Saccharomyces cerevisiae S288C: one gene and its partners. Changing the gene in region 4 together with the main gene of any one other region gives a genetic interaction. Each region holds a gene or a part of one and is shown on either strand. Other genes may lie near its edges.

Region 1 (7,157 bases), on a different chromosome or scaffold from region 4:
TCGATTAGTTGAACATAATTGCTTGGAATAATACCTGTTTCACCGTTTGCCCTTCTTGCCTTCCACCATCTGCCTTCAATGTCAGAGACTTGTAGGATTTCATTTTGTTCAAATGAGATTTCGTAAGCATCATCGTCATCAGCGTCGTATGGGTACAGTGCTTTTGCCTTGTAAATGAAATTATCATCACCGATATCGCTATACAGACCCAAAGTGTCTCCCATCGTAGTTTCCGTATTGCCATTTGAAAAATCAGTATCGAACGTATTACCTATATTAGTATTGGTTTGATTATTGCTATTATCATTGGTTTCCTTCGCGTTGCTTGCGCTATTGATACGTTGTTGTAGAGTGTTCAAGTGAAGATTAACGGCTTCTGAAGTATTTGGCTGAGTATTCTCAAAACCAGCCAATGCCGTAGAAGATACATAATTTGTGTGAGAAGGTTGCTGCTGTGGATATCCATCAAACTGTGTCGCGTAGCCTGAGTCTCGTATAGCATCATTATAGACATTATTTTGGTAAGGCGTTGTGTTCCTATTGCCTCTTCGACGAGCTCTATGAAGAGAATTCTCTAATGGCGAAGGCCTGATACCCTTAATGGAAAACGAATCAATCCATCTATTGGTTGGGGAAGCATTATCACCGCCGTAGTACAGAATCCAGATTAAATTTATGATGGAAAGTAAGATGACACCTGCTGAAGCAGCAGCTTTCTTGGGACCATCCGCATACACTAAATTCGTTGCACTGTTTGTATTATACACAAATGCCACTGCAATAGATGTGGTGATGAAGATTCTGTAATGATCGACTAAATCAAAACAATAGAACAGCATTAAAGAACAAATAATTAGAAATTGGTATACTATACCCCACCAAGTAAAACGTGGGAAGGATTCATTGGTGGATGCAGATGAGATGGAGCCCCCGATGGCGATGACCCACGATACAATTGCCAAAGAAATTGATGATATAGCGAAAGGATCGGCATAAAATTTTTTCATTTTAAAAGAATGGTCGGTAGCCATACGTGAAGGTTTACGAGGAGTTGGTCTTATCTTTGATGATATTGACATATTTTGAAAACGTGATTTTTGGTGTTTCTGAAAAGATGGCGTTGATCTATAATGTCCAATGTTGTTTTCAAATTATTGGGTTGGCTACTGTTAATAACACGCCCTTTCTTTTAGCGATTCTGTTGAGCAAAGAAAGCTGATATGATAGACAATGATACCTCACTGAAAACGAGGCTCAATGACTTTATTCGTGTTCCTGTGTTCTTTGCATATTTCAGCAATCGCTGAAATTTTTATAATACGTATGAAGCAAAAGCCCGACTCCGAAAGCTGTTGTGTGTAAATAGATTGAACGCGTTGGGAATGTAAAACGCGATTAAGAATTTCTGATTTAACGCAGGTGCTAGGTTATTAATAGTTTCTTACGCGGATATGTAGGTTCAAGGGTCTATGTACGTATGGAGGAATAGCAAAAAAAGAATGAGTATACTCTTGCTTATTTAGTTTAGCTTCAAAGCTGCGGTCAGGCAGGTGATCATGATTATTAGCCCCCAGATAAACAAGAGAAGACCTGTGTATTTGAAAATCTTTGTCGTCAATGGCACGGCTGTCTTGTGCTCAGTTCCTATAAGCTTGTAGCCAAAGAGCCCGGGCAGAATGAAAGAAATAGAAGTGGAGCCTGTGGCCCCAACAATGGCCAGTACACGGGCCAAGGAGGAAACCGAAATGGCGACAAGATATGATGCAACTAAAATGCTGCACGTTATAACAATAAAGCTCTTGCCTCTCAATGGAGTCTCCTTAGGCTGATAAATAGATTCTTCTTCAATTACCTCATTGAGGTCAAGGCTACTGTCGCGAATCAACGGAGAACTTTCGGTAGCAACAGTGGGTTCATCCGCCGATGTAGCACTTATACTTACATTTTCCTCGGCGAAGTGTTGCAAAATCTGATGGATTGAAGCTCTTGCAGGATGACACTGTAGTGGGAACGCCAGCATCACCAACAACACAATCGCTATTCTGCCGATGGTGCTCGAGACCGCTTGCGGGTACAGCATGATAATGTTTCCAATGATGTTGTCGCCGAATGTCAGGTATCCAGCACAGCCGATCGCAATATATAAGATGAGAGCCAAAGATATTGCTATCAGTGGAATCTTCATCACATGCTCGAACCGGCTTGACCTCTGCTCATTGATTATTGAAAACATATTGTGGTGACATGTGTAGGCAAAGACAAAAATTGGAAGAGTGTTTAGCACGTTCAAATCATGCGATTGTGGTGGCAGGAGGTAGGAGATCCGGCCTTTCAAGCGAAGAATCTCATCTGATGGTGCTACATAGTGCAACAACACCAAAACACACAAGTACGCTACAGAAGAGATGGCCACCATGGAAGCGTACCTCAACGAATTCAACTTCTTCAGAAAAGACAGCGGGGCCACGAAAAAAAGCATGATCAGTGAAATTTGCACGTTCCTGTTCAACAGCCAAGCATTTCTGGTCCACACAGACATTATTTGGGGCATCAGATCCCCAACTACAATCATATAAGAGACGCCCACACCAAAACACTTGATAGCGATCGCTAGGTCAAACACAATACCTAGATTTGGGTTAATCAACCGCGTCAGAGCACTGAACGAGGCCCTCCCCTGTGGTACGTATTTAGCTACACGAGCTTGTATGAACAAGCTTTGCATAGCGCACGCCCCACACAGCACTATCATTATCACTCCAGGAATTAATCCAAACGGCTTGAATGCGTACGGCATGGCCAGGATACCAGCACCGCACGCCGTGTGTAAAAGTGTCAGCACACCTGATCTAATACTAGCTACCATATGATGCACGATTCCTTTCTATGGTTATTGAGCTGTGAAACTAACCCGTCGTTCGACCATTGTTGTTCTATATACTTCTAGTTGCTGTATAGATAAGCTCTCCGATCCCCTAAACGTGCGTGGTGATCTTACTCTTTCGCCCTCGCTTTTTTTTTTTCGCTTGTTGTTTTCGCAAGGTGAATAGAATGGTTTTAGTAGCAAAGTGCATTGTTTATTGTGTGGTGTGGTTTGACGCACATTCTGTGTTAATAGTGTAGCAGAAGGGTATTCTACAATCTCCGCGAACCTAAGTATGTCTGCTGTTGAAATTTCCCCTGACGTGTTGGTGTATAAGTCTCCATTAACGGAGCAATCGACAGAATACGCTAGTATTTCCAACAATTCAGACCAAACCATTGCATTTAAGGTCAAGACCACAGCCCCAAAGTTTTACTGCGTGAGACCAAACGCCGCAGTTGTTGCTCCAGGTGAAACAATCCAGGTTCAAGTTATCTTCCTGGGTTTGACTGAAGAGCCTGCCGCAGACTTTAAGTGCCGTGACAAGTTCCTGGTTATCACGTTGCCTTCTCCTTACGACCTCAATGGCAAGGCTGTTGCAGATGTTTGGTCCGACTTGGAGGCTGAGTTCAAGCAACAGGCTATCTCTAAAAAGATAAAAGTCAAATATTTGATAAGTCCAGATGTACACCCAGCACAGAACCAAAATATACAGGAAAACAAGGAAACTGTTGAACCAGTAGTCCAAGACAGTGAGCCAAAGGAAGTGCCTGCTGTGGTAAACGAAAAGGAGGTCCCTGCTGAACCGGAAACTCAACCTCCCGTCCAAGTAAAGAAAGAAGAGGTCCCACCTGTCGTTCAGAAAACCGTTCCTCATGAAAATGAGAAGCAAACGTCCAACAGCACTCCGGCCCCACAGAACCAGATAAAGGAAGCCGCAACCGTACCTGCAGAAAATGAATCATCCAGCATGGGTATATTCATATTGGTTGCACTCCTTATCTTGGTTTTAGGATGGTTCTACAGATAATAGGGAGATTGAGGATATAGCTGTATTCTAAATATATATTTATATATGTGTGTGTTTTGCCCTTTCCTTCCTTTCAGTCTTTATTTTACTTTGTTTTTCTACAATCTTTTTTTATTGTTTCCTTCTGTAGCCTTTACAATACTAGAACAAGGAACTAAAAGATCATACTTTCCTAACTTTTTTATATGTTTTATTTTTTAAATAGGAGAATAATCGATAACTATACCACTGTTGTAACATATTACTTGTTTAATTTATTCATGTTCGGTTTCCCTAGTGTAGTAGGCGCTATCTTGGGCAAATAACTATCCGTTATTAACCATAACAATGCGGGGTCTACTAAATGAGGGGAGGGTCTTGGATGCACATTAACGAAGATCTTGCGAGGGGGTCGCGCCTAAAAGGTCCATAAATAAATGAATACATAAACAGCCACCTACTTTCAGTTTGTTTTTTGCTAGGTCTCATAGTGAACGAGGGACTCACATATTGACAATATAGTAACATGGGCTTATCGCGCTGGCACGACAAGAATTCAAGGCCAGCAGAGGAAAAGAGCGAAGAAATGCAACAGGATGCGCACTACTACGCCCTTGCGGCAAGTGATAGTTTAAATGCAAGTGTTTCTAACGAATATGGTAATCAAGTAATGAACTCGTTTTGGAAAGTGGGTATAGACTCTCCCTATGTGGACGATGAAGCAATTAGAAACAGAGATGTCGAAAATAACTTACCTTCTTTAAAGCAAAGTGTTTATAATGCTAATGAACCAAATGCTACCTCGTCTGCATTTTCAACCGCTTCATACGCACATGAAACTTTCGATTTTAGAAACCTTAAACTAAGATAAGGGGGGATGAAGAATAAGAATAAACGCACGTACAATGCATATACAACCGTTTCTATGTACCATAAATATAATTATCATATAATGAAAAATGAGAATAAAAAACAATGATAACAATGAAAAAAAAAAAATTCAATTAAAGAGAAAATTAAACTTATTTTCTTAAGTAGTCCCTTAAATAACTACCGAGTTTTTCAGCACCCTGTTCTACAACGTCTCTCAACATCTGCAATTCATCATCTGCGGAGGCATTAAAATCGATGAAACCGTTATTAGAATTACGGCCATCAAAATTCCCTGCTCCACTTCCACTACTATTGATGGGATTACCAAATTCATCCACTTCTTTATCTTCTCCAAAGTATGAAGAAGAGGAAATTGATGTAGCATTGTCAAATGTTTTCAACTTGTCATGCGCTTCCCTGTTTGCTGCTTCATCAAATGAGCCACGACCAAATAATTGATCAGATGATATAGCTTTTTGTGTGCCGTACCTTTCCGCGATTCTGCCCGTATATCTTGGTCCCTGAGCTATTTTCTGAGATTCTTTTTGTTGCTTTGCCAAATCATTGGCGTCATTCATGGTCATACCAAATCCCAATTTGGCAAACTTGGGTGTTAAAGTATCTTGCTGTTCTTTTCTAGTTGTGTCGAAGCTGTTTGAAGTGTCATTTAAAAAATCATTGAATTCATCAGGCTGGGTATTAATATCATCTATACTGTTATTATTGTTGCCTTTACTGTTATTCATAAATTGGGAATCGTAATCATTTTGTCTAATTTTGGTGCTAGAAGACGAATTAGTGAACTCGTCCTCCTTTTCTTGTTGAGCCTCTTTTTTAAATTGATCAAACAAGTCTTCTGCCTGTGATTTGTCGACTTTCTTTGCGGTTAGTCTAGTGGGCTTTCTTGACGAAGACAAAATTGAATGTTTCTTTTTATCTTGCGAGTTTAATACCGGTTTCTTTCTGCTAGCCGTTAAGATGGAACTTCTCGTTTTAGTGACAGTGGTCTTGGGTGTGCTGCCTGTGGTGTTGTTTTTTGGGGCGAGAGAGCCTGTATTTACATTGAGTTTAGAACTGGAATTGGAGCTTGGTTTTTGCCAATTAGAGAAAAAATCGTCAACACTATTTTCTTTGGAAGTCGACCTGGAAGCGTCTGAATCGGTGTCCAACGGTGAGTCCGAAGAATCTTGACCGTTCAAGACTAATTCTGATGGGTATAACTCCATATCCTTTTGAACCTTCTTGTCGAGATGTATCTTATATTTCTTAGCAACAGGGCTCGTATATTTTGTTTTCGCGTCAACATTTGCTGTATTTAGTAGCTGTTTCCCATTGTTCTTTAAGAAAAAATCACGAGCCTTATGGTTCCCACCCAACTTAAACCTTCTTAAATTGTTAATTGTCCATTTATCTAATGTAGAAGACTTTACAAAGGTGATATGAACACCCATGTTTCTATGCACAGCAGAGCATTGAATACACAGCATCACACCAAAAGGTACCGAAGTCCAAGTAGGATTCTTGTTACCACAATCAAAACAAACTCGATTTTCCATGTTGCTACCTAGCTTCTGAAAAACTTGTTGAGTAGTCTGTTCCGTGGCAAATGTTTCTCCTTCATCGTTACTCATTGTCGCTATGTGTATACTAAATTGCTCAAGAAGACCGGATCAACAAGTACTTAACAAATACCCTTTCTTTGCTATCGCCTTGATCTCCTTTTATAAAATGCCAGCTAAATCGTGTTTACGAAGAATAGTTGTTTTCTTTTTTTTTTTTTTTTTTCGAAACTTTACCGTGTCGTCGAAAATGACCAAACGATGTTACTTTTCCTTTTGTGTCATAGATAATACCAATATTGAAAGTAAAATTTTAAACATTCTATAGGTGAATTGAAAAGGGCAGCTTAGAGAGTAACAGGGGAACAGCATTCGTAACATCTAGGTACTGGTATTATTTGCTGTTTTTTAAAAAAGAAGGAAATCCGTTTTGCAAGAATTGTCTGCTATTTAAGGGTATACGTGCTACGGTCCACTAATCAAAAGTGGTATCTCATTCTGAAGAAAAAGTGTAAAAGGACGATAAGGAAAGATGTCCCAACGATCTTCACAACACATTGTAGGTATTCATTATGCTGTAGGACCTAAGATTGGCGAAGGGTCTTTCGGAGTAATATTTGAGGGAGAGAACATTCTTCATTCTTGTCAAGCGCAGACCGGTAGCAAGAGGGACTCTAGTATAATAATGGCGAACGAGCCAGTCGCAATTAAATTCGAACCGCGACATTCGGACGCACCCCAGTTGCGTGACGAATTTAGAGCCTATAGGATATTGAATGGCTGCGTTGGAATTCCCCATGCTTATTATTTTGGTCAAGAAGGTATGCACAACATCTTGATTATCGATTTACTA
Region 2 (4,020 bases), on a different chromosome or scaffold from region 4:
TCTATCTTTTCGCAGTTATCATCTAACCCGGAAAAGTTTCAACAAGACTTTAGCCTTTTAATGGAAACTCCCACTAGTTCAGCTTAAACAAAATAGAAAAGCTTCAACAGAGGAAAGAATAACGCAAAACCACCCTTTTCACTAAGATGCTTTATGAGCTGATCGGACTTGTTCGCATAACCAACTCCAATGCGCCAAAGTTGGAAGCAAAAGAATTGTCTTCCACAATCGGGAAACTGATTATTCAAAACAGAGGTGTGGTGAGGGACATTGTACCCATGGGCATAAGGTATCTTCCTAAAATAATGAAGAAAGACCAGGAAAAACATTTTCGAGCATATCACTTTTTAATGCTGTTTGATTCATCAGCTGCGGTACAGTCTGAAATTCTAAGAACTTTAAAGAAAGATCCCCGTGTCATAAGATCATCCATCGTTAAAGTTGATTTAGATAAGCAGCTGGATAGAGCCTCATCGTTACACCGTTCTTTGGGGAAGAAGTCTATTTTAGAATTAGTGAATGAAGATTATCAATCCATTTAGGTATAGCGCACAGGTTTTGACTGGGGACGCTACAAACACATGTAAATACATACATATCTTTCATACACATATAATAAACAAAGCAGGAAGAGCATTCTAAAAGCCTCACTTAACATAGACACCATTAAAAGCCACCCATTTATTTCAAAAATTTATAAAATTCTAAAGATAATCAGTGGTATGTGATTAAATAAACTACATGTATATTATGCTAAACGACAATCCTGACTAAGAAAAAGAAAGAAAAAGATATATATTTATATGTATCTACATAAGACCAACCGTATCCGTAATTGCAGATAAAATACTCATTAAGCCCTCTTTACACCTAGTGACGTTATAGACGTGGCGGACGAACGAGAAACAGAAGTAGATCCATCAAATAACGAAGGGCTTACACTGGGTTCATCAGTCATATTAAGATCAAAGTCAAGTTCCAAGTTGGACAAAGGGACACTTTCGATATCGTTTGAATCTGCAGCCAATGGATCACTCTTTGATATATCGTATTTCTCAATTGAAGTGTATGACCATCTGCAAAAAAGAGATGTATCTACAATTGGTAAATGTGTGTACTTTGTGTACTGGAAAATAACGTATGACAGCACAGAACCTGCCATAAGGTCTACAAAATAATGGTGTGTCAGATACATAGTTGACCACCATAACCAGCAAACATAAGCAATAAACAAGGGCTTCAATTTTGGAAAACAATAACAGAAAAACAGGGCTTCCATAGTAGCACACCCGGAATGCAGTGAAGGAAAAGCACCGAAAATGACGGAGGAATTTGAAAAAGCTGTAGTATACATATTAATACCGAGTAGCTTATCAATTCTAGCTAATCCACCAGGCGAGCCATGCATATCATAGTTGGCTGATTGCAATCCATAGAGAATTTTATACCATGGGGGAGCGGCTGGAAAGACATTTTGCATGATAACACCAAACAGGTTCATATAACCAAATGCAAAAGCATAACCTTGCAAAACAGTTGGTGGACCAAATACGAATAAGATGGCAGCAACGACAAATGGGGCCCCAAAATGAAATAGTCCGTACGGTAACCATGCTAAAATGTCCAAAAAGGAATTCGTCGATGTTGCAAGAATATCACTTAAATTGTCGCCGTATAAAATTGTTTCCACCGCTGGTAACACTTTGACAGTAATAGGAGGCCTGCGGTCATCTGGAAAGTACGATGAAGTGAAATACAGCGCCACCCATGTTAGGATGGGCAAGGCATTGAAGAAAAACTGTGACGTAGCTGGAATGATGAATAAAGTGCCCAAGAAACAATAAAAAAGGATCTTGAAGATCCAAGGTGCGGGATTAGTAATGAACACAAACAGCATGATGGATCCCAAGAAGATGTAATGCACCCAGTCGCTTAAAGCGGGTTTGTATTTTTGCACCTTCAACAACGTTTGATGGGGATCTAAACTTGTTTCTAAATCGGCTACATGGCAGTTTGGAGGTCTCTCTGATAGAAACCATCTCGAAAAAGGGTTTGCCATACGCAAAGGAATGATTAAAAGCTTTTTAAAATATGAAAACCGCAACCTGTAGGATATAAAATAAAGTACTTTTGGAGAAAATTCAAAGATCCTTGGGCCAAAAGCTATACCCAAAGTAGCTCAGTGTGAAAAAGGAAAAGGATAAACTTATGAAGTACTTAACAACAACCAAAAGTGAGCGATCGGACTAACCAACTACCTAAGAGATGTAGCAGTAGAAATCCTACTCTGTTGGTTCACGAACAAAAGTCGCTAGTGTTCTTACGCTATGGTAACTGAAGCAAAAAATACGCCTCTGCAGTAGTACCAAATCAGAAAACCACTTTGTAACAAATATGAACACTGATGGGCACTTTATTATTCTTTGACAGAAAGAAATAAAAAAGCGATGACCCGCCAAGCAATGAAGTTGATATTCTTTTGTTGTGGTTTTTTTAGCTCATTTTTGTTTTTTCCTTTTTTCAGTTTTAGGATCACTCTTCACGAATAACTTTTCATATCATTTCTGGGAGCTGGGGAGAGATGGATACTATTTCACAAGACATGCAAAGGGATGCCCAGACTGCAGTTTGGCCAAAAGGCTTGCAATGAAAGAGGATAGGTTGACGAGATCTTAGTATTTTGACTTGTTCTATACACAGGGAGCTATCGATTATCCTAGGTTCTCTTTTACTTTTAGCTTTTATTTAGTTTAAATTTATTATGTCTGTCCGTACTTCTTCAAGATCTAATAAGGGTCAGAATAAATATATTGAGTATTTGTTACAGGAGGAGACTGAAGCACCAAAGAAAAAAAGAACTAAAAAGAAAGTTGATTCAGCCATAGAGAAGAATAAGAAGTCTGATTCTTCTCAGGAGCCAAGGAAAGATACTGAAAATGTAAGAACAGACGAAGTAGACGAAGCGGATGAGGGCTATGTTAGATGTCTGTGTGGGGCGAACAATGAAAACTACGATGCTGCAGAATATTCGCATGGCGACATGGTACAGTGCGATGGCTGTGACACTTGGCAGCATATTAAATGTATGACTGATGGTAAAGACACCATAGATGGGCTAATGAGTGAAGATTCTAAGTACTACTGTGAATTGTGCGACCCATCATTGTATGCACATTTGGAAACGTCAAAGGAGGCAGAGGTTTCAGAGGATGAAGATTACCATGATGATGTTTACAAGCCCGTAAATGACCATGATGACAATGATGCAGATGTCTTTCTTGATGAGGAAAGCCCTAGGAAACGAAAAAGGAGCCCCGATAGTGCCAAAGGAATTCATATCAAATCCAAACAGGTGAAGAAATCCAATGGGTCAAAAAAAAGGAATAAAAGCATTGATGCCGCCAAGTCTGATACTGCCGAAAACGAAATGCCTACTAGGAAAGATTTTGAAAGCGAAAAAGAACACAAACTGAGGTATAATGCAGAAAAAATGTTCTCTACCTTATTTAGCAAATTCATCGTTCCCGAAACAATTGAGGCAAAACTTTATGAGCTTCCTGATGGGAAAGACGTTATATCGATATCGCAAGAGTTTGCGCACAATCTGGAAGAAGAACTTTACAAAGCTTGCCTTAACGTCGAGTTTGGTACTTTGGACAAGATATACACAGAGAAAGTGAGGTCGTTATACTCTAATTTAAAGGATAAAAAAAATTTGGAACTGAAGGCACACGTTGTCGAGGGCAAATTGCCTTTAAATAAACTGGTGAACATGAACGCATCTGAACTCGCAAATCCTGACTTACAAGAATTTAAAGAGAAAAGGGATAAGATTATCTTAGAAAATTTTATCGTGGAGGTACCTGACAAACCCATGTACGTTAAGACCCACAAGGGTGATGAGCTGATCGAAGATATCGCTGAACCTCAAGAGGATATTTTGTACTCAAAAGACAGCATAAGATTACACAACATTGACAGTATCGACAGCGATAAGAGTAAAATAGAACAGACTCATGC
Region 3 (8,471 bases), on a different chromosome or scaffold from region 4:
TCTCACAAGAAATCGGGAGCCGATCTTCGATGTGTGTGGGCGTATATACAAATGTGCATTCGGCACGTAAAAGACTGGTAAAGGCTACCGTCCTTCAGTGAGCATTTTTTACATTCATTCAACGCTATACAGCTCTTACTGTGCGACGGAAACGCGACAAAATGTGAAGAGAAAACTAGGGGTTGCTATGACACGACCACGGAAGGCCTAAAAAGTTAAGTGACAGAAATCGTCATTGGTAAAAAAAACCCCGAACATGCCGATAAAGACTTGCTTATTCACCTACGATGACTTCAGAAGTGCGCCTATATTTCTTTACTTTTGAACACCCTTCCACCGCCCATTTAGAGAGAGCTATTTTTGTGCCTTCACTTCCGGCAGAGGTTATATTTTTTTTTTTTTTTTTTTTTTGCATACTACTCCTACTTCTTTCTACAGTCTCATCCCGACGCTTCAGTTTGAAATGTAAGGGACTGCGGCATTTGACTGAAAGAAGGGAGAATGGATGGTTTACTTTACTTTTTACGTAATGAAAAAAAAAATGATTGCTGTATTAGGACATCCCTGTTCTTTTATGTGGTAGCCTATATCCGATAACTGTTCAGCTATAAGACGTGAAGAGAGATTTTTTGGTACCCCTTATGCATTCAATTAAATAGAGAATTAGATATTTCTACCGATGTGCATTTTGTATATAAAGAAGTAGGAATCCCTTCTACAACGACAGAGGTAGACATACTGCTTGGAAACATTCTTTTCGTCCTTTTACAGAATTCTACATAGAAATAATAAAAACAAACAATAGCTTTACTACACAGTACACACTACAATGCAAGATTTAGAGATTTTTTTGAGTATTTTCGCTTTCATTTTCGTTTTCTACTTTGGTGCTCATAGAACAGTCATGAACAGAAACAAGAGCGATGTTCCTTACTTGCAGTGATTTAAATCAGCTAATCTGCTTACTGCCGCCAAGAGAGGTATGCAAAGTCAGTTCTACCTAGTCTGGCTTAGCGTTTTACTATTTACGAAGTTGATGTTCTGTTTTCTAATTTATCTTTTTTCTACTCATTCATTTCCACACTACACTTAATATTTTTTCAATAATTTTCGATGTTTTTAATCCGGTTTTCTATTGATGAGCGCCTTCTTAGCTCATACTTAATACACGTTTTTTAAGATTTATACGTTTGACAGCTCACGCTGTTTGACCAAAGTTATTTTCATTTTTATGTTCGTAATTATGTATTTTTGCTATTGTATATGATATACGTCTATATTTAGGCAATTATAATATGATTATAATATAACTTACTACATCTCTAAAACATGCTGTCTAGCCCTTCCATCGCAAGACTCGGCTAGACATTCGAGGAAGGCACAAAAAGCCACCTATCCCCATCTCTCCAAAAAGCTTCATTTCGAAAATAAGAAGGGAAACATCCGAATAAGACTAAAACTTTGTTCCTTCAATGACTACTAAGTTATTAGATGTCAGAAATCCCGCAAAATCGCCCGCATATCAAGGTAAGCGGCAAAACCCTATTCTTGAAAAAATGTAAATACTAACCGTGTGAGAATTTTAACGGTGTATTCCAAAAAGTCAGCACGTGATCTGCTAAGAAATCCGAACCTCGGCCTTTGTTTTTTTTGTTACAGCATAGGGAAAAGACGCATTGTGTCAAAAAGGAACATCGTACCATTACCCTCTCAGCACATAGGTAATAAGGTGACAAGTAGCAAGTGAAAAGTACCGCTTACGAAGAATACTTTAATTCAACGTAGATACTGCAAAATATTCAAGTCATTATTTTTGGCCCTTAACTTGCCTTTCCAGTTCTTAGATTCATTCATATGCTAGCTAGCAACAACGGTCACTTTGGGTTGCATTTCACAATCTCATTCGGCTAAGATCTCGGCTAACCAAAAGTTGGACTTCAGGGGTATTAGCGAAATAAGGAGATCTTTTTTAGGTTTATTCCTTGTTTTTAGTTTCATTTTGCTTAATAAAAAGGAAAATGGATATATCGATTTTCTGCATACCCTGTTACATTTGATATAAATACAGCGGGACCTACCAAATATACTTTCATTTTGCTTGTGTTTTATAGATATTTTATTTTTTTTTCCAGGCAGTCAATGACACATTGTTAACTGAAAGTGTTCTGTTATTGTTTTAATTCTAAAAAAATAAAGTAAGGGAAAAAGAGAACGGACTCATTGACAGTTGTAAAGCATGGAGTCCAATAAACAACCACGTAAAATCCAATTATATACGAAAGAGTTTTATGCCACATGTACCTTAGGTGGTATAATTGCGTGCGGTCCAACACATTCTTCGATCACTCCACTAGATCTTGTCAAATGTAGGCTACAGGTCAATCCCAAGTTGTATACTTCAAACTTACAAGGGTTCCGTAAGATTATAGCTAATGAAGGCTGGAAGAAAGTATACACTGGGTTTGGTGCTACATTCGTCGGATATTCGCTACAAGGTGCAGGTAAGTATGGTGGTTATGAGTATTTCAAGCATTTGTATTCTAGTTGGTTAAGTCCTGGTGTCACTGTGTACTTGATGGCCTCAGCGACCGCTGAATTCCTCGCTGATATCATGTTGTGCCCATTTGAAGCTATTAAAGTGAAACAGCAGACTACTATGCCGCCCTTTTGCAATAACGTTGTTGATGGATGGAAAAAAATGTATGCAGAAAGTGGAGGTATGAAAGCATTTTATAAAGGTATTGTTCCCCTATGGTGCAGACAGATTCCTTACACAATGTGTAAGTTTACCTCATTCGAAAAAATTGTTCAAAAAATATACAGTGTTTTACCTAAAAAGAAAGAAGAAATGAACGCATTACAGCAAATATCAGTCAGTTTTGTAGGTGGTTATCTGGCAGGTATATTATGTGCTGCAGTCTCACATCCTGCAGACGTTATGGTTTCCAAGATCAATAGCGAAAGAAAGGCCAACGAGTCCATGTCTGTAGCCTCTAAAAGAATATATCAAAAAATTGGCTTTACTGGGTTGTGGAATGGGTTAATGGTGAGAATTGTCATGATCGGTACTTTGACAAGTTTCCAATGGCTAATTTACGATTCGTTCAAGGCTTATGTAGGCTTACCAACCACCGGTTAGCTGATCGATTCAATCGGCAAGGTTTATCGTAAACACTCTGTGCTAGAGGAATATTGTATACACAGGATTTCATAAAGTTAGTAAATGACCGGCATTTATAGTTTGTTCTTCTTTGCATATGTCTTAATAAATATTCGTCCTACAATTTCTTTTCATACTAAGAGTTTTGTTATGATTGCCAAATTTCTCAAGCCAAGAACAGGCCCAGGAAAACTTTGAAAGTGCCATATCAGAAACACATTTATAAGGTAGTTTCGATATACGGCAATACTCGATGCATGCCCAAACTTGCCAGCCGCTCGCGATTGAATCTTCTACAATTTTTAGGTGAACATATTCAGAGGCTGAGGCCTTATTTGATAGTAACATCAAATATCACTCCCACAATTTACAATCACTGTCATTGGTCTCACAGGATCCTTTTCTTTCTAGAACTCCCCTAATATCAACTTTTTACTCTACTGTGGCTCTAACCACGTGTATTTTTCAGGCCCATGACTCACCTTTTCTTTCTTTTTCACTAGCAAACGAAAATTTCATCATCACTTTTTTTTTTTTTCACTTTCCGTACGCAGTCTTCTCCAGAGATTCTTTTAGCTTCGAAGAAATAATGTATAATATCCATATATAAGAATACTGCTGGATAATTATTTTATTTCTATTTTAACAGTGCTCTACTCATTGAAGGATATTTGTGTAGCCAATACTCTCTCCATCGCTTAAGCTCACATAGCTATCGCATTTTATCACAGAAGCTTTCATTTTTTTTAACTTTTACATGCCAATGGATTTCCAACCTACATCAAGTCATTCGAACTGGGTCGTGCAAAAGTTCGGTGGTACATCTGTCGGTAAATTTCCCGTCCAAATAGTGGATGACATTGTGAAGCACTATTCTAAACCTGACGGCCCAAACAATAATGTCGCTGTCGTTTGTTCCGCCCGTTCTTCATACACCAAGGCTGAAGGTACCACTTCTCGTCTTTTGAAATGTTGTGATTTGGCTTCGCAAGAATCTGAATTTCAAGACATTATCGAAGTTATCAGACAAGACCATATCGATAATGCCGACCGCTTCATTCTCAATCCTGCCTTGCAAGCCAAGTTAGTGGATGATACCAATAAAGAACTTGAACTGGTCAAGAAATATTTAAATGCTTCAAAAGTTTTGGGTGAAGTGAGTTCACGTACAGTAGATCTGGTGATGTCATGTGGTGAGAAGTTGAGTTGTTTGTTCATGACTGCTTTATGTAATGACCGTGGCTGTAAGGCCAAATATGTGGATTTGAGCCACATTGTTCCCTCTGATTTCAGTGCCAGCGCTTTGGATAACAGTTTCTACACTTTCCTGGTTCAAGCATTGAAAGAAAAATTGGCCCCCTTTGTAAGTGCTAAAGAGCGTATCGTTCCAGTCTTTACAGGGTTTTTTGGTTTAGTTCCAACTGGTCTTCTGAATGGTGTTGGTCGTGGCTATACCGATTTATGTGCCGCTTTGATAGCAGTTGCTGTAAATGCTGATGAACTACAAGTTTGGAAGGAAGTTGATGGTATATTTACTGCTGATCCTCGTAAGGTTCCTGAAGCACGTTTGCTAGACAGTGTTACTCCAGAAGAAGCTTCTGAATTAACATATTATGGTTCCGAAGTTATACATCCTTTTACGATGGAACAAGTTATTAGGGCTAAGATTCCTATTAGAATCAAGAATGTTCAAAATCCATTAGGTAACGGTACCATTATCTACCCAGATAATGTAGCAAAGAAGGGTGAATCTACTCCACCACATCCTCCTGAGAACTTATCCTCATCTTTCTATGAAAAGAGAAAGAGAGGTGCCACTGCTATCACCACCAAAAATGACATTTTCGTCATCAACATTCATTCCAATAAGAAAACCCTATCCCATGGTTTCCTAGCTCAAATATTTACCATCCTGGATAAGTACAAGTTAGTCGTAGATTTAATATCTACTTCTGAAGTTCATGTTTCGATGGCTTTGCCCATTCCAGATGCAGACTCATTAAAATCTCTGAGACAAGCTGAGGAAAAATTGAGAATTTTAGGTTCTGTTGATATCACAAAGAAGTTGTCTATTGTTTCATTAGTTGGTAAACATATGAAACAATACATCGGCATTGCTGGTACCATGTTTACTACTCTTGCTGAAGAAGGCATCAACATTGAAATGATTTCTCAAGGGGCAAATGAAATAAACATATCCTGCGTTATCAATGAATCTGACTCCATAAAAGCGCTACAATGTATTCATGCCAAGTTACTAAGTGAGCGGACAAATACTTCAAACCAATTTGAACATGCCATTGATGAACGTTTAGAACAATTGAAAAGACTTGGAATTTAAATCCACCTTTCTTCTTCACTTTAATGATAGAATATTAATTTTCCCTTTATATATATATATATATATATATACGCGCACATATATTTACATATATATTAATGTTTTGTAACCTATATTGGGGCGATTATTCCCTAAATGTAATGTCAGGGTTATACTGTATCAATTGCTAAAGTAGATCTCATTCATCGAGAGCATAGGATGAAATAAAAGATACAAGAACGTGGCGGACAAGAAGAAATTTTACGAAATAAGATCGGCTAAAGCTTTCGCTAAATGCTTCTTTGAAGTGAAATTTAACGGCTTGTACTTAACTTCAGGTTTTATAACGTATGCATGAAGTGATTGAATTGCGCAATTAGTGGTCCTGGAAAGCAAATCCCCATCACTGACATCACTAGTGATTTTATTTTTATCAAGCGCAAGATACTCGCATAATTTACCCATCACTTGATCAAACTTCGGGAAGGTAAATCTTCTAGGAACCTTTGTTAACTTTTCAATTTCCACAATTTTAAGGTGTGTCTCCAAATCACGGATGGTTAAAAAGTTGCCTCCAAATACCAAAGAGTCTACTGGTGTATAAACTGCATGAATATATCCAGCTGGAATCATAAACAAATCACCAGCATCTAATTCCATCGCAATACCATCCTCAAGAATATCACCGAGGAAAACACTATTTTGGTCTTCTTTTAAAGACCACTCAATATACTTATCTATGTTTGATTGGGTAGGTGGAAATAATAAAAACTTCTTCTGTCCTGAGATAACGTTATAATAAACAGAGGTACCGGCAAAATCCAAATGAAAATCCGTATAAGCATCCTTTACAGACATCAAAATATATTTGGTCACTTTTGGCTTGGGGTCATTCTCCTCCGCCTTCTCCCCATTGACTTTTTCTAAATGTCCATTGAAACTCCAAATTTTATCAACAAGATCATTCTGCCTAACTGCAGTGGGCCTCTCTAGTTCTAATCCCTCAATATTAGAGACTTCTAATGATATAACATTCCTTATTCGATCCCTCCTGTCTGGTTCAGTATTTGTAAAATATTCATTCCAAGATCCCAAGTTCCAATTTTCATTCATTTGTGATTGAACGTCCATTACATCAACATGATAATCCTCGCCTATCATTTCGGTGATATAATTAACTGTGAGGCATCCATTGTCTGTGCCCACATTCGGTACATATACTCCGCTATTCAGTGGATCGATGATCTTGTACGGCACATCTATATTATCAAACTTTTCAGCAAAGTCAGCGGCGTTTATAATATTTGAGCCATTTTTCCATTTTTCAAAAGATTTCATGAAACTCTCCTTATGAGGGTGATTCATTTTATCCCTTTTCGATTCACCCTCATTCAAAGCGATATAGTCAAGTAATTTCTTCTTTCTGAAATTATACCGCTTATTTATATGACTATCTTCAGGGTTTTCTTTATTCCTTTGCCGCTTTCCTTTTTGTGTGATGAGAGCGTATGCGGTAAGATATTCTCCTTCCTTATGATTAGGACAACGGTAGCTCTTGATTTGCTTCGCAGAATTTGGATAAGACAGAACTTCAGAACTTGTAAGATTTGAATAGTGAATGCGTTTCAAAGGCACGCATTTCACGTGGACCCACTGCGGGCAACTATCACACTTCACCCAAATTAATGCGCCTGGATTATCCTTCAACTGGCAATGCTGGCAAATATTGGGATCTTGCATTGCACCATAGCTTATTAGTATTTTGTTTTATGATCATTACGTCTTCTTACTCATTATAATCACCCACTTCTATTAGATGTTCTATTATGCCTTTAAATTGCATTGTAGGGTAACCTGTTGGGGGAAAAAATATCTAGGATTACTTTACATACTTAAATATGAGTCCATTATTAACAGTGTTACAGTTCTAACCAAAAAGGCAAGGTTCTACACAAAACTTCGGATGTTCAAGATGAATGCCACCACAGGCATAAAAATTCAAAACGGTATGCAACCTATCATCAAGGGAGCAGTAAGCTCCACATTTAAACGTGCTCTATACAATTTCGGTATCAAAGAAAAGAAGAGTGTCAATATTGAAATGGGGAGAACGCAACAAACAAAGAAAATCGATCAGTCTTTGTCCAAAAAACTTCCCAAAGGTACTATCTACGATCCATTTGACTTCTCTATGGGACGAATCCATTTAGATAGAAAATATCAGGCAAACAAGAACTCAAACAGGAACGATATAATGAAGTCCGGTGCAAATCCACTAGAATTTTATGCAAGACCAAGAATACTTTCAAGATATGTGACCTCCACGGGAAGAATCCAACATAGGGATATCACAGGCTTATCGGCAAAGAATCAAAGAAGACTATCGAAAGCCATTAGACGGTGCCAGGCAATAGGATTAATGTGAACTGTACTACACTAATGCTTCTCCACATGAAATAATTAAGAAAATAAGGCATTTCATAGTTCTGTCTGTAAATATACAATATGTAAAAAGAATCGCAATTAGATCTTAAGTTAAACTTATATTCATTCTTATATTTCTTTAATATACCCGTTTTATTCGCTTACTCGAATTTGGATTATGGTAATGATATTCACGCCAGAGGAATAAGCTGAAATTGACGAATAACTTTTCAAATAATTTTATTACTTCTATTATACAACTTTATAAATATCTAAGCTGCCATTTACTTAATAAGACGGGTTAATTGTTTACGCTTCATCTTCCTGACCATCTTCATCACATGATTTGACATCCCACTTCATTTTGACATCCCATCTACTAGATTTAGCGCTCCAGCTGACGTACTTAACAAACTCCAAAACACTTTCATCTCTCAAGACCAAATTGAAAGTATTCCAAGCAGGTGGATCATTAATCAATACTGAATCACCACTGTCATCCGCACGATAAACAGAAGCGTCTTCAACGTCTTCCTTTAAGTATTGCTTATTATCTTCGTCGTCGTC
Region 4 (9,193 bases):
TAAGGTCACCCTAATCATTATAATAGTTGTGTGCATGGTGGTATTGCTTGCTGTATTAAGTTAGTAATCTCCTTAAACGCGCATTGAGCACAGACTTTCTGGTAGACCCAATCTTATCTATTTACGAAAACAAGAGTGTATAAGAGTGTATAAGTTATTTTTTGCATTTATTCTTTTGTGGTAGGGGGGTTTCTTAGCCGCTCTTTTTGACTCAAAATTTCCTTTGATGTCTAGTGATAGTGCACTTCCCATGTGCGCAACCTGTGTTTTTTGTACTCCGTAGTTTAAATGCAAGGGCTCGATATGCCCTTTTTCCTTTTTCTACTTTGTACGATCTACACTGACCTTTTTTCAGTAGTCCGTAAATCCCCACGAATTTCTACTAGCGACTGCCAATAAAAAAAGGATTGTGCTACTGTATGTAAAAAGTAAGAACCCTGTTATTTTCCGTTAACTGTCATTTGCCTTACTGTTGCTTAACGGCCGCCAACCGTTATCAAGAAACAAAACATTGTATGCGTTGTCTTCTAAATGAACCTTGTGGGCCCTGATAAACATAAGAACGTGTCTGGCTCGGAAGTATTTATCTTATTTCAATTTTCGCTTTTGCAGAACATCCTTGCCTGTCACTAAGATAAGGACAGAGCGTGGATTAATAAAAATGGCAGAATTTCTCGGCAAAAAAAGAAATCATGCATAATTACCTCGATGTGTACGTTATTGCGGGCACGATCCTGTCGCTACGGCCTGATAGTAGCGGCTATTCTGCTGGCGAAAATTTTCAGCAGTTTGAAATCTTACTGTGGCGTCCCGGTCCAGCCGAGATGACATCTAACTAAGAAATGTCCGCTGCGGCACACCCACGCCGTTGCAGCTAAAGTCGCGCACCAAGCACAGACCTGCTGGAGAATGAGGAACAAGGTTGCGTTAAATGCTTCGGGAAGAACTGCCGAACCGAACCGCTAGAAAAGTGCGCAGGTACCCCGATCGAAGCGGCTCGGCGCTCATTTTAGCACAATCAGAAAAAGGAAATTGAAAGAAGAAAAAAAAAACATAATCATTAACAATTCTTTTCTTGAGATATACGTATATATGACGTCGTCATGTAGTATCTCTTTCGGGATACCCTTTGTAAACGTCCCTTTGTGGAGATGAAAAAAAAACTTGCTGAATAAAGATAGTTAAGGCGCTAGTAATCAAATTAATAACATATTATACCACATCACATCTATACCATTTCCGTTGCACATTGCTTGAACCAGTTGCCAAAATTGACTAAACGGATTTTTACAAAGTCAACGGTGATCACTAAAAGCAAACAACTCAAGCGACGAGGCAAGGAAAGAGAAGAAAAAAAAAATATTACATTGGCTATATAAATATCAAAACATCTTAGGTAAGGCACCTTTGATACATAAAACGAAGAAAATTCAGCACATGCCAGATGGCGAGTGTACCAAGTCTATGCGACATACTGATACCGCTAGAAAAGAATAGTCGCAGCGACGGCGATGCTGAAAGTAGCAATACAGTGCTGATTCAACTGCGAAAAGGGCATCACGAACGGATGCGTTCTCCTTACACAATACAAAAGTTTTACAAATTTCTAAAAAGAGCTCATTGTGAGGAAAATTTAGAATTTTTCGAAAAAGCTCATCAGTTCCTCCAGCTTAAGCAAAACAGGAGTATTAGCGAGGAGAAGCTCTTGGAAGTTTGGAACAAGTCGTTGTACATAAAATACATTGCCGTGGACTCCCCCAAAGAATGCAACTTTTCACAGGATACTAGGGAGATATTTGAGAAGTGCTTTGCTAACAATGAAGTACCTGCCGACGTAGACGTCCTGTGTGCCATTAGCCATGTGATGGGCCTATTAATGGACGGGTATCACCGATTTGTGAGTTCTGTTAATGAGAAAAAGTACTCCGCCACATATGCCCACAATGACTCTGCTACGGAACAAGATCTCAAAAACGAGTCTACAACTTCTTTTTCGTCATTAGGCGTGGAGGATATTTCTGAAGATAGAAATTCGTATCTTAAGAAGCCTGATATCAATGGTTTGTCAACTATCATTCAAGAAACGTCTGCAAACACGACCAATGAGTCGCAATGCAGCGATCGCACTTCTCGGCCAAGCGAGTCCTCTTCCTCACTCAACACTACCAGCTCGACCTACAAGAATACCAGCACTAGAAATCTGCAAAAACCGCAAAATACAGGAATTCTCAACTCGGGGAAAGGTTTATTGCAAAAACTTAACTTTGTTAAAAAACGGAAATCTTTCAAACAGCCTTCAGGCGTCATTTGTAGCCATTATAACAGCAATGTTCAAAACCGTTTGAAAGGACAAAACAGTCATCAACAAAGATAGCCTCTTCATCATCTGTGGAGACACAAATATCTTCATCCTCATCGCCATTACCCAATAAAGCGATCGGTAAAAATGAAAAAAGCGTTGAAAACGGCTTTAAAAAGCTAAATTTGCATGATATCAGTTAATCAAGATTAGAACTTTGATTAAGTAGAACAACGATAGAAAATCCGCTTTTCTGGCTAGTTCCCTCGTTTCATATTAATTCATTTCACACAATTTACTTCATTTCATCACGCTCATATTGTTTGTAACTTTAGTTTTTATTTAATTTTACGTACATGACACTGCATATAATTATTTCACAGGCATTTAAAATAAGAGCATTGGGCACAGTCTTCTTTTATATGTTGTCATATTCAAACACTAAACATTTATCTGTATAGTAATTAATGTTAGCTCTTCCTTCTGCATGGCGCTTGTTATATACTTCATTCGTCTATTTTGGTGCCGCGCGCCATCATGGTCCGGTAACGGTCGTAGTGAATGACTCATATTTTTCCATCTCTTTCGGCCTTGCCAAAAAATGAAAAAAAAAAAAAAAAAAAAAAAAAAAATTAAAAACGATGTCCAGAATCACAACTACAACATAGTTTTGCCTCTTACTGGCTTGATTGGAAGTTAGCTGTTAAATTTCAATAATGCCTTACTTTACTCCACGAAATCACAATCCTTGTTTTCGGCTTATAAGGGTCTTCTCCTTAGGATAATACTATCGGCACATTATCATTTAGCCGCGTAGCCATGGTAAAACATTCGTTCATAGCGCTAGCTGAGCATGCTAGTAAACTAAGAAGGTCTATCCCACCCGTCAAACTGACTTATAAAAATATGCTACGGGACCCATCGGTAAAATATAGGGCGTTTGCTCCACCAAAAATGGTCAAGAGGATTTGGCCTGACAAAACTATTCAAAAGGCTCCACGTTGGCTGTCTACTGACTTGAGGGACGGTAATCAATCTTTACCGGACCCAATGTCTGTGGCTCAAAAGAAAGAATATTTCCACAAGTTGATCAACATCGGTTTCAAAGAAATCGAAGTGTCTTTCCCCTCTGCATCTCAAACAGATTTCGACTTCACCAGGTATGCTGTAGAAAACGCTCCAGATGATGTTGGTATTCAATGTCTTGTCCAATCTAGAGAACACTTGATTAAAAGAACCGTGGAAGCATTGACTGGTGCTAAAAGGGCTACCATACATACTTACTTGGCCACAAGTGACATGTTCCGAGAAATTGTCTTCAATATGTCTAGAGAGGAAGCTATTTCTAAAGCTGTAGAAGCCACCAAACTGGTTAGGAAACTAACCAAGGATGACCCTTCCCAGCAAGCTACTCGTTGGTCCTATGAGTTTTCTCCCGAATGTTTCAGTGATACGCCAGGTGAATTTGCTGTAGAAATTTGTGAAGCTGTTAAAAAGGCTTGGGAACCTACCGAGGAAAATCCGATCATTTTCAACTTACCAGCTACTGTAGAAGTTGCCTCTCCAAATGTTTACGCTGATCAAATTGAGTACTTCTCTACCCACATTACTGAGCGTGAGAAGGTCTGTATTTCTACGCATTGTCACAATGACCGTGGTTGCGGTGTCGCCGCCACAGAATTAGGTATGCTTGCAGGCGCTGATCGTGTAGAAGGTTGTCTATTTGGTAATGGTGAACGTACAGGTAATGTTGATTTGGTTACAGTTGCCATGAATATGTATACCCAAGGTGTTTCTCCTAATTTAGATTTCTCAGATTTAACTTCAATTTCTGAAATTGTCCATCGCTGTAACAAGATTCCAATTCCCCCAAGAGCCCCATATGGCGGTGAATTGGTTGTTTCTGCCTTTTCTGGTTCTCATCAGGATGCAATTAAGAAGGGATTTGCAATCCAAAACAAGAAACAGGCTCAAGGAGAAACTCGGTGGAGAATTCCATACTTACCATTGGATCCAAAGGATATTGGACGTGATTACGAAGCCGTCATCAGAGTCAACTCTCAATCCGGTAAGGGTGGTGCTGCTTGGGTTATTATGAGATCTCTAGGATTAGATGTACCAAGACCAATGCAAGTTGATTTCTCCAATACTCTACAGAAAAATGCAGATGCCTTAGGAAGAGAGTTAAAATCCGAAGAGATTACAAAATTGTTCAAAGAAACTTACAACTACAACAACAATGAACATATATACGTCACCTTGTTGAATTACGAAGTTAAGAAATTGAACCCAGAGCGTAGAGCTTTAGTGGGCCAGGTAGAAATCAACGATAAGGTTGTCAACATCGAAGGCTACGGAAATGGTCCTATCTCTTCTTTGGTGGATGCGCTATCCAATTTACTGAATGTTAAGTTGAGCGTTCAAAACTACTCTGAACATTCCTTGGGTTCTGGTTCTGCAACCCAAGCGGCATCTTTCATAAATCTTTCCTACATAAAGGACATCAATAATCATGCTACTAGTAATATGTGGGGTGTTGGTGTCTCCGAAGACACTGGGGATGCATCTATTAAGGCGGTATTTGCTACTGTCAATAATATTATTCATTCCGGGGATGTTCTACTGGCAGAGTAATAGAAAGGAGTAGCTTATGATTACTCATGTTATATATATATGTATTTTTATTTATAAATGGCACAGAAAAGTAACTTATTTCACGTTAAAAAGACATCTTTCAGCGAAGTTTCCAAACACTTCTTCGATGTCTGTGTGGAAAGTTTCTTTCGTTTATAGTTTTATTATTTTTTTTTGCTTTTTTTCCCATGGTACCATTTCCTTTCGTGAAACATTTTACCCAGGCCCACCCACCGCATAATCTTAACTGAATCCGAATAGGGATTTTTCGAGCACTACTGCAACTGTTGAGTGAGCTAGGAGTAGTGTAATTTGAGACTTTGTGAAGGGAGAACAGTCAATATCCAATATCATATTAAGAAAGCTAGCAGTACCTTAAGAGGAAGAAAGAAAATAACTGGGGCGAAGAATATCTAGTTATCCACTCCTTCATAGAATGATTATCTTTGTTTCAGAAGAACCTGAAAGGAGGCTAGCCATTGTATCCAACTTGTATGCTCTTGTTCTTAAACCGGTTGGGAAAAAGCCATCTGATAAACCCCTTTGTGCCATTGAACTTCTTCAAAAAAATGATTTGAAAAAATATGGCTTCAAAAGACTTACATCACACGAAATTTTTGGTGTTATCGGACTCATTGAGGTTAATGGCCTGCTGTTTGTTGGTGCCATCACTGGGAAATCAAAAGTTGCACAGCCATGCCCAGGAGAGACTGTGAACAAAATTTTTGCTGTCGATTTTTTTTGTTTAAATGACAACAGTTGGGATTTTATTGAAATCGACTCCTCAGGTTATCCTGTGTTGCCGGAGACTGCTTCAACTGAATATCAAGACGCCTTGCCAAAACATCCATGCTATGAATTGAAGAAACTATTATCCAATGGATCTTTTTATTATAGTTCAGATTTTGATTTGACCTCAACCTTACAGCATCGTGGATATGGTCAGCATTCTTTGAGTACAGATACCTACGAAGAAGAATATATGTGGAACTCTTTTCTCATGCAAGAAATGATCACATACAGAGATCATTTGGACACAAATTTGAAACAAATCTTGGATGACGAGGGGTTTTTAACAACAGTTATCCGTGGATTTGCGGAAACTTTCGTCTCGTACGTTAAGAAGTTGAAAGTTGCTCTTACTATCATCTCGAAACAGAGCTGGAAAAGAGCAGGAACAAGATTTAATGCACGTGGTGTGGATGATGAGGCAAACGTTGCCAATTTCGTAGAAACGGAATTCATTATGTATTCTAGCCAATACTGTTATGCTTTTACACAGATTAGAGGCAGTATACCTGTATTCTGGGAGCAAGGTACCTCTTTAATCAATCCAAGAGTACAAATTACAAGATCATTTGAAGCCACCCAACCGGTATTTGACAAACATATCATGAAATCAGTGGAAAAGTACGGACCTGTGCATGTCGTTAATTTGTTATCAACGAAATCTTCTGAAATTGAACTTTCAAAACGATACAAGGAGCATTTAACTCATTCAAAAAAATTGAACTTCAACAAAGATATATTTTTGACAGAATTCGATTTTCATAAAGAAACTTCGCAAGAAGGCTTTTCCGGTGTCAGAAAACTCATTCCATTAATATTGGACTCTCTTTTATCTTCTGGCTATTATTCTTACGATGTTAGAGAAAAAAAGAACATATCTGAACAACATGGCATATTTAGGACCAACTGTTTAGATTGTTTGGATAGAACAAATTTAGCTCAGCAAATTATTTCTTTGGCTGCTTTTAGAACTTTTCTCGAAGATTTCCGATTGATTAGTTCAAATTCGTTCATCGACGATGATGATTTCGTTTCTAAACATAACACCCTGTGGGCTGATCACGGTGATCAAATTTCCCAAATATATACTGGTACTAATGCTTTGAAGTCCTCATTTTCAAGAAAAGGTAAAATGTCACTTGCTGGGGCATTATCAGACGCCACAAAATCGGTCAGCAGAATATATATTAACAATTTCATGGATAAAGAAAAGCAACAAAATATCGATACTTTGTTGGGAAGGTTACCGTATCAGAAAGCAGTGCAACTTTATGATCCCGTAAACGAATACGTAAGTACGAAATTACAAAGCATGTCTGATAAGTTCACATCAACCTCCAACATTAACTTGTTAATAGGATCATTCAATGTTAATGGCGCAACCAAAAAAGTTGATTTATCAAAGTGGTTATTTCCAATCGGTGAAAAATTTAAACCCGATATTGTTGTTTTAGGTCTTCAAGAAGTTATAGAACTATCTGCGGGTTCGATTTTGAACGCTGATTACTCGAAAAGCTCTTTCTGGGAAAACTTAGTGGGTGATTGCTTAAACCAGTATGATGATAAATATCTGTTGTTAAGAGTAGAGCAAATGACTTCTTTACTAATTTTATTTTTTGTTAAAGCAGACAAAGCTAAATACGTCAAACAAGTGGAGGGTGCTACTAAAAAAACTGGCTTTAGGGGTATGGCTGGGAATAAAGGTGCAGTGTCTATAAGATTTGAGTACGGTGCCACTTCATTTTGTTTTGTCAATTCTCATCTCGCAGCAGGAGCTACGAATGTCGAAGAACGTCGAAGTGATTACGAGAGCATAGTTAGAGGTATTACTTTCACTAGAACTAAGATGATTCCTCATCACGATTCGATTTTCTGGTTAGGTGACATGAATTATAGAATAAATCTACCGAACGAAGACGTCAGAAGAGAGTTGCTCAACCAAGAAGAAGGATATATCGATAAACTGTTGCATTTTGATCAACTTACCCTAGGTATTAATTCTGGCAGTGTATTTGAAGGCTTCAAAGAACCAACTCTCAAGTTCCGTCCAACATACAAGTATGATCCCGGGACAGGAACTTATGATTCTTCTGAAAAGGAAAGGACGCCGTCATGGACAGATAGAATTATTTATAAAGGGGAAAACTTACTTCCTTTATCTTATTCAGATGCTCCGATAATGATTAGCGACCATCGGCCAGTTTACGCAGCATATAGAGCAAAAATAACTTTTGTTGATGATAAAGAGAGACTATCTCTCAAGAAACGTTTATTCACAGAATACAAACAAGAGCATCCCGAAGAACCGGGTTCTCTGATATCGGATCTTCTCAGCCTTGATCTGGATAATAAGAGCACTGATGGATTCAAAAGCTCTTCTGAAAGTTCTCTACTTGATATTGATCCGATAATGGCACAACCGACAGCGTCCAGCGTTGCTTCTTCGTCACCTGTGTCTTCAGCATCGGCTTCACTACAACCTGTCAGAACTCAAAACAGTAGCCAGTCGCGTACCCCCATAAAGAAACCGGTATTGCGCCCCCCACCCCCACCTGCTCATAAATCTGTATCAGCACCTGCTCCTTCAACATCGAAGGAAAAATCACCAACACCACAGACCTCAACTGCATCGTTGTCATCTGTGACTAAAAATATACAGGAAAATAAACCATTGGCGCAAAATAGACGAATTCCACCACCAGGTTTTAGTCAAAATATATTAACTCCAAAAAGTACCAGTAACTTGGCTTCGCCTATGTCTTCTAAGGTTGATTTATATAATAGCGCGAGTGAATCTACACGTTCAGCCCAAGATGCAAGACAACAGACACCTACAGCATTTGCAGCATCAAGAGACGTCAATGGGCAGCCCGAAGCTTTGCTAGGTGATGAAAATCCAATTGAGCCAGAGGAAAAGGCCAAACTAAACCATATGACTTTAGACTCATGGCAGCCATTGACCCCAAAATGAGAATATGTTATCTTTGAAGTGTGGTTGTTGTTCCGTTTGTATCCCTTTAAATGAACGAAGAGAAACAAGGGGGCTAACCTGGCCAGGTTGTTTTATGTGATTTTATTTAGATAAATATTTATATAAATATTCAGTGAGAGAAAAGGAGTGCGTTAATAAGGCGCGCCGGGTTTAAAGCTGAAAAATAGGACACATTAATATATATACGTTAAATATTGGTGAATACTTATGGGCAAGGTGGAAGAGAATCTCTACTATCCATAAATCCTCAGTAGGCTTTCCCCTAATTACCTTCATTTTTCTACCTCAATAACATATTACTCCTTTTCAATACATTTTATGGTGGTGAACACGATATATATCGCAAGGCATGGATACAGATCCAACTGGCTTCCGGAGGGTCCATATCCTGACCCACTTACAGGAATTGATAGCGATGTTCCTTTAGCAGAACACGGAGTCCAGCAAGCCAAAGAGTTGGCCCATTACCTTTTGTCCTT

Evidence for each region.
Region 1: of INP53 (region 4) and SCS2, extra expression of one rescues a mutant of the other (dosage rescue), as found in Saccharomyces cerevisiae (2 studies listed by BioGRID).
Region 2: mutations in INP53 (region 4) and AUR1 together harm fitness more than expected from each alone (negative genetic interaction), as found in Saccharomyces cerevisiae (2 studies listed by BioGRID).
Region 3: mutations in INP53 (region 4) and HOM3 together harm fitness more than expected from each alone (negative genetic interaction), as found in Saccharomyces cerevisiae (3 studies listed by BioGRID).

What each region holds. Positions count from the first base shown.
Region 1 is NC_001137.3:397,977-405,133, forward strand, and holds SCS2 (phosphatidylinositol-binding protein SCS2), read left to right. Parts: upstream 1-3,158; coding exon 3,159-3,893; downstream 3,894-7,157. Other genes in the region: osmosensor SHO1, read right to left, coding at 1-1,079; AVT6 (aspartate/glutamate transporter), read right to left, coding at 1,520-2,866; YER121W (uncharacterized protein), read left to right, coding at 4,399-4,743; GLO3 (ADP-ribosylation factor GTPase-activating protein), read right to left, coding at 4,895-6,376; casein kinase YCK3, read left to right, coding at 6,837-7,157. UniProt on the Saccharomyces cerevisiae protein: Acts as an endoplasmic reticulum (ER) membrane anchor for cytoplasmic proteins via binding to the FFAT motif of targeted proteins. Regulates phospholipid biosynthesis by modulating the subcellular localization of the transcriptional repressor OPI1.
Region 2 is NC_001143.9:433,619-437,638, reverse strand, and holds AUR1 (inositol phosphorylceramide synthase), read right to left. Parts: upstream 2,060-4,020; coding exon 854-2,059; downstream 1-853. Other genes in the region: mitochondrial 37S ribosomal protein bS6m MRP17, read left to right, coding at 147-542; BYE1 (Bye1p), read left to right, coding at 2,762-4,020. UniProt on the Saccharomyces cerevisiae protein: Catalytic component of the inositol phosphorylceramide synthase which catalyzes the addition of a phosphorylinositol group onto ceramide to form inositol phosphorylceramide, an essential step in sphingolipid biosynthesis.
Region 3 is NC_001137.3:253,405-261,875, reverse strand, and holds HOM3 (aspartate kinase), read left to right. Parts: upstream 1-3,917; coding exon 3,918-5,501; downstream 5,502-8,471. Other genes in the region: YER053C-A (uncharacterized protein), read left to right, coding at 830-943; PIC2 (Cu/Pi carrier), read left to right, coding at 2,237-3,139; JHD1 ([Histone H3]-lysine-36 demethylase), read right to left, coding at 5,742-7,220; mitochondrial 37S ribosomal protein bS18m RSM18, read left to right, coding at 7,489-7,905; TPA1 (oxidative DNA demethylase), read right to left, coding at 8,214-8,471. UniProt on the Saccharomyces cerevisiae protein: Phosphorylates aspartate, the first step in the biosynthesis of amino acids that derive from aspartate (the aspartate family of amino acids), including methioinine and threonine, the latter of which is a precursor to isoleucine.
Region 4 is NC_001147.6:519,909-529,101, forward strand, and holds INP53 (phosphatidylinositol-3-/phosphoinositide 5-phosphatase INP53), read left to right. Parts: upstream 1-5,369; coding exon 5,370-8,693; downstream 8,694-9,193. Other genes in the region: SNAP receptor VAM3, read left to right, coding at 1-64; GTPase-activating protein RGS2, read left to right, coding at 1,445-2,374; 2-isopropylmalate synthase LEU9, read left to right, coding at 3,119-4,933; transcription factor TFIIIC subunit TFC7, read left to right, coding at 9,033-9,193. UniProt on the Saccharomyces cerevisiae protein: Dephosphorylates a number of phosphatidylinositols (PIs) like phosphatidylinositol 4,5-bisphosphate (PtdIns(4,5)P2), but also phosphatidylinositol 3-phosphate (PtdIns(3)P), phosphatidylinositol 4-phosphate (PtdIns(4)P), and phosphatidylinositol 3,5-bisphosphate (PtdIns(3,5)P2).